2 linked regions of the Saccharomyces cerevisiae S288C genome follow. Each later gene encodes a partner of the first gene's protein in a complex. Each region holds a gene or a part of one and is shown in the gene's direction. Other genes may lie near its edges.

Region 1 (2,629 bases):
TTGGAATGCTGTTTTCGAATCTCACCGAGCCACGTGGAACCTTTCACAGTTGATGGTTTTGGATGGTGTACTAGTCACATACCCGAGCTTCAAACAATTGAACAACGCCTATTTTATTGATGAATCCAGCAACAAAACTGCGCTTTATTACAGAAACTGGAAATTACAACTGTTTTCACCAATATGGGCGCAGCTATGGAATACTGCCATTGTCAGGGCTAATTTATCGATTCAGCATTGCCTTCTGATAGCATTAGCTTTACTTTTTAATCAGTCAAACCGAAGCGCCCTTTTGCATGGAGTTGACGTATCATGGAATTTGGTCACAGAGAAACTATTGGACCTTTTGGAAGAGTATGTACACGGCATTGTGCAGCCGATGGAAATTTTTTCGACTGATTCAGTCTTATCAACCAACTTGAATCATTTGGCCAGTTGCTTGACCAGTTCAATCACGAGGTCAAATGAGGCAACTTTGGTAAATTCAGTACGCAAACTAGAAAGGATATGTCGATACTTGTCCGATACTGTGGCTTCGTTGAAAGAACAACAACTAGATTTCAAGTTCCAAAATGTATTTATCCTGATAATCCTCGCGTTAAAAGAATTATCCGCCATGAATATGACAATACTGCCTAACCATAAAGACACTTTTTATTCTATGATCTGTTTAAGCCTTTTCCACGTCCACGTATTGACTCAAAAAATCGGGACAGTCGGTTTTCCCAGTTACGATTATGTTTACGATAATTTAGTAACGTATTTCATTGTCATGGATGACTTGTCTAAAATCACTACAGTTTTGGAACTAATGAAAAGAAACAACACCAAACAAGATCCAAATAAATTAGTGTTTTACATCAATTTTCTAAACAAAATTACTAATTACTATGGGTGTCGCATTCGTTTGCCGTTTATTACTGAGTTTATCGAACCTTTACTGCATTTCGATGTATTTTTTAGCGGGAAGACGGGCAATACCTTGGATATTGAAATCAAAGAATCTATACACACATTGACAATCACTGTACTGTCTATAGACTCCTCTTATTCCTCACAGGTTGCACAATGGCAAGTATCCCGCATACTCGTCTATTTAAAGATGTCGATGGACCAATTTATTGCAGGTAAATTGTCCGCAAATCAAATTTTACTTATATTCGGCCATCTATCCACACAACTTCCCTCACTACATAATTATAACAAGCATTTGCTTAGGGACTCTTTGCACGAGACGTATATCAGAATTGTTAATGTAAAAAACCCAGAAAAGAAGAATGTATTGATTGAATGTCTGATTGTACAAATAGCCTTTATCAACAATCCTCATCATTTGATCGGCTGGTTGAACATCTGTCTCCAGCTAATCAATACACATAACAAAAAGCTACTTCAACAATTGTGGGAAATGGTTTCGAGTCTAGAATCCTCCCTAGCCATCGACTGGTGGTACACAACGGTCTTATCAAGTCAATCTTCTAAATTATAGTATCATTAAGTACTTTATAGTAGCGCCTTTTTATATTCCTTTTTTCTCAAACAAAAAAAAAAAATGACTGGGATACAAGTGAAAGTGGAAGAGCAAGTGAAATACGAAATAAAGTGAACCATTTATACAGAATAGGAAAACCAACTAGTGCATTAAACTAAACTCCATGTCATACAAACAGTATTTTGATAGTTTGCCTTTGAAATTGAAGTCCTTTTTCCAAAGATACCCCCCTTCAATCAAGTATTCTCCAGTGTCTACATCTACTAAAGCCATTAATGCCAATCCTTTCCTGCCAAATAAACATCCGGTCACACAACGATTTCATGATCCGAAATATTCACTTAGAAGAATGAGTGACGTATATAAGTTGGCACTGCGTTATGGAGTAGAAGAGTTTTTACCACCGATCGAAAACACTAAGAAACTTTTCTTCGAGGAGAAATACAATAAAAAGACCCTCATGAAAGGTGTTCTCTTGCCCAAGGGTCATAAGCATGAATTGAAATTAAACGAAAAGCTAAAAAAACGTGAAGAAGCTTTAAAGAAGGTAGATGAGTTGATTGCTTCCAAGAAGGGTTCGAAGTATGCCAAGAGAGTAGAAAAAATGAAAAAAAACCAAAGTATAGGCTGGTTCTGAAGAATAAGAGAGAAGATAACTATAGTTTAGAATAGTAAACCCTATGTGTACTGTTTTATGTTTTTAATGTCTAATCATGTAAATAATTTTGTGATATCAATAACGAACGTTCTGAACAAGAATTATGATAAAAAAAAGTAAAATCTAAAGCCATTACAACGCTATATTTTCAGTGGCAGTAAAAACGCAAGAACAAAAACAAAACGTGGGTAAAGAACAAGGACTACAATGGCTGTCAATGAATTTCAAGTGGAGTCTAACATCTCTCCAAAACAACTGAATAACCAGTCAGTGTCACTTGTTATTCCTCGGTTGACAAGAGATAAAATTCATAATTCAATGTACTATAAAGTAAATCTAAGCAACGAATCTTTGAGAGGCAATACAATGGTAGAGCTTTTGAAAGTTATGATTGGCGCATTTGGTACCATAAAAGGTCAAAATGGTCATTTACACATGATGGTTCTCGGTGGCATTGAGTTTAAATGCATCTTAATGAA
Region 2 (3,047 bases), on another chromosome or scaffold:
AAGAAAGGAAACAGAGTCAATGTTAAAAAATATAAATAATTCCAAGTCAAAGATGATAGCCCTTTGGTATCAAAGCATAAACATTGCGCGCAATGTATGTATGGCCAAGGAGCTACATAAAACGCTTCGCTCTTAATTAGTAAATATAATAATATTTTTTTATTTAATTATACATTAAAGAATAAACAAAAATTAAAAAAGAAAAGGCAAATATTTTGAATAGTAAATTATTTTAAATAGCTTTCTAATTTAATTTTAAACTCTCTTTCTGTAACGTCTGTCTCTTTGGGCAGAAACGTTGATAACAGATAATGGCAACTTCAAACCCAAAGATTTAACCAAGTCAGAAGTTTGGTTGTCAACGTTCAAAACACCGTTAGAACGAGACAAGTCCAAAGCAGAGACTTCTGGGACGTATTGGTCCTTTCTTTCTCTTTCTTCTTCTTGCAATTTGAAAGAGATACCTCTAACTGGACCCTTTTGGATTCTCTTCATCAAATGGGTGGTGTAACCAGCAATCTTGTTTCTCAATCTCTTGGATTGGATAGTGGCGATTTCATCACAAAGTCTCTTGTTGGTTTGGAAATCCAAAGTCAACTTTGGATAGTAACGTTCAATCAAAGCCTTAGAAGCACGCTTGACGGTCTTGGTTCTAACTCTACCCTATTAAAATGACGAAAAGCAATACAAAATAAAAAGTTTGTAAATGCAATTCAACTTGTTAGTATACTGATATCAAAAACACATTATAATGTGTAGAGGCAGTTCATGGCGCCATATTATCCCTTGTTCAACTATGCAAAAAGAAGATCCACAAGAGACTGAATCTCCGGTGATACTGCTATAGGCATTTTAACTCCCAATTTTTTGGAAAGCCACTGCAACTATAGCCAAAACATGAGTATCATTTCAATCACACCACTTTTTCGGTATCGCAGTTCCATATCGTCTGAAAATATCGTCATATGTTTTCTTTAACTTATTTATTGTATGACTTTATTGCGCATGTCGACTCAATATTACGTGTCCTTAAAAGCCTCCTTTAGTCCATATTAACATACCATTTTGTTATTGCTAGTCTCGAGATCTTGACTTTTCTTAGAATTAAGTCGATTAATGCTTGATTAATACCTAATTTCATACATATTACGCTAATATGCCAGTAAAAGCGATCACGACGATAGCTACAGCATGAAAGATTGGCTTAGGAAGCACCATTCCGTTGCCCACAGCAAGCCGGCTGAGCCCAGGCGCTGTTGCACGTACCCAACAAACCTCGTCTCTGCCATTGGTCTATTGTCCTCCTGGACAGGCCGCCTCCTGTGGCAAAGCAGATTCCCAAACGGGGCCAAAAAATTAAGTAGAACTCCCAGTTTTTTGGAAAATAAAAAATAGAATGTACGGATGTAATGCACGGATGTTAAACCGGAAAAAAGGTTACTGGGTCACCCTGGGATACCAAGAATGAGTCTCAAAAAGTTCGAAATAGAAAAGTATAATACAGAGGTTCCATTAATAATGGGGGAGATACATTCAAAGGACGCCAATGCGAATAATCTTTCGTTCAACTAGGGTGAAATAATAATAATGACGATAAAAAGAAATTTGGTGAAAGTACGTATCAGAGGATCGTCCCTCGCTCTTTTTCCATTTGGTTGTCGATTTTCTGAAGATGAATCCGTATACTAACATTACAACCATTTTATGCAATAGACTTTACAATCTATACGCTACCAAGCTACCACTGCCACCGCACATGCAGAATCCACGTTAAACCCTCTGCCAAACGCAGCCATTCCTCCCAAATACGCCTTAGTTACCGTTCGCTCCTTTCCATCATTAGAACCATTGACATTTGTGCCGGTCCCCACATCAACTGTAGCTGCTCCATTAAGGCGTGATATACTATGGAGAGCCGTAGTTTATGAAAACGATAATAGAAGAGTAGGCGCCTCAAATCCTCCCGGGAGAAGTGAAAACGGGTTTTCCAGACGTAAATTGATGCCCCAAAAGGGTTCTGGTAGGGCAAGAGTCGGGGATGCTAACTCTCCAACAAGACATAATGGTGGTAGGGCATTGGCAAGAACTGCACCAAACGACTATACTACAGAGCTACCATCCAAGGTTTATTCCATGGCTTTCAACAACGCTTTGAGCCACCAATATAAAAGTGGAAAGTTGTTTGTTATTGGTGGTGAAAAGGTCGACTTAATATCTCCCACACCAGAACTCGACTTGAACAGGCTGGATCTTGTGAATACAAACACAGTTGAGGGCAAAGAGATTTTTGAGGGCGAAGTCATCTTCAGAAAATTCTTGGAGGAATTTCAACTTAAAGGTAAGAGATTACTTTTCATTACAGACAAGACTAGGGAAGGGCTGATAAAGAGTTCTGATCCATACAAACAAAAAGTAGATGTTATACAGAAAGAACTTGTTGAGGTAAATGACATACTAAGAGCCCAAGCTGTTTTTATCGAATTGGAAGCTCTTGAATATCTAGCAATGGCCCATCAGAAAGAAATCCTTCACTCCGTGTCTAACTGATTTTCATATGTACACATACAAGTGACCCCTTCTTCTACCCCATCCAGTTATTATTCCATCTACATATTTAAAAAATAATCTGTAAATAATAAGCCCATGAAATATCAATCTCACAATGAAAGAATTGTATAATTCAGAATGATTTGACGTAAAAGCAAGTCTCATTCAAGAAACTGTAAAATCCGTACACACTACTGAATTTTACATCCATACATTTTTTTGAAATTTCATGTTTTTTTGAAAAATTGGAAAAGGGCTAAATTATCCGTCGGGGTGTCCTCCTAGCTCGGCTCAACCTAGGCAAATGCGTTTACTGGGGCCATCCAAGCTCATCCTTCCAGAGATTCGCCTTTCAGAGGCAAAGAACTCGTCTCCGCAGGCCTCTTGTTCCGGGAGGAGGAGAATTCTTGCGCGGAAACTGGTTGATGCCTGGGCTATGGTAATTCTGACACCTTTGCTATCCTAACTGGAAAAGGTCCTTAGTAATAACAATATCAGGT

What was found. Proteins that work in one complex are often made in the same cells at the same time.
Region 2: MRPL25 (region 1) and YML6 share a complex: the UniProt entries of both Saccharomyces cerevisiae proteins name them as parts of the mitochondrial large ribosomal subunit.

What each region holds. Positions count from the first base shown.
Region 1 is NC_001139.9:636,604-639,232, reverse strand, and holds MRPL25 (mitochondrial 54S ribosomal protein mL59 MRPL25), read left to right. Parts: upstream 1-1,655; coding exon 1,656-2,129; downstream 2,130-2,629. Other genes in the region: PEX8 (Pex8p), read left to right, coding at 1-1,489; U4/U6-U5 snRNP complex subunit PRP38, read left to right, coding at 2,358-2,629. UniProt on the Saccharomyces cerevisiae protein: Component of the mitochondrial ribosome (mitoribosome), a dedicated translation machinery responsible for the synthesis of mitochondrial genome-encoded proteins, including at least some of the essential transmembrane subunits of the mitochondrial respiratory chain.
Region 2 is NC_001145.3:223,906-226,952, reverse strand, and holds YML6 (mitochondrial 54S ribosomal protein uL4m YML6), read left to right. Parts: upstream 1-1,587; coding exon 1,588-1,614; intron 1,615-1,713; coding exon 1,714-2,547; downstream 2,548-3,047. Other genes in the region: 40S ribosomal protein eS17 RPS17A, read right to left, coding at 256-663, 1,062-1,064. UniProt on the Saccharomyces cerevisiae protein: Component of the mitochondrial ribosome (mitoribosome), a dedicated translation machinery responsible for the synthesis of mitochondrial genome-encoded proteins, including at least some of the essential transmembrane subunits of the mitochondrial respiratory chain.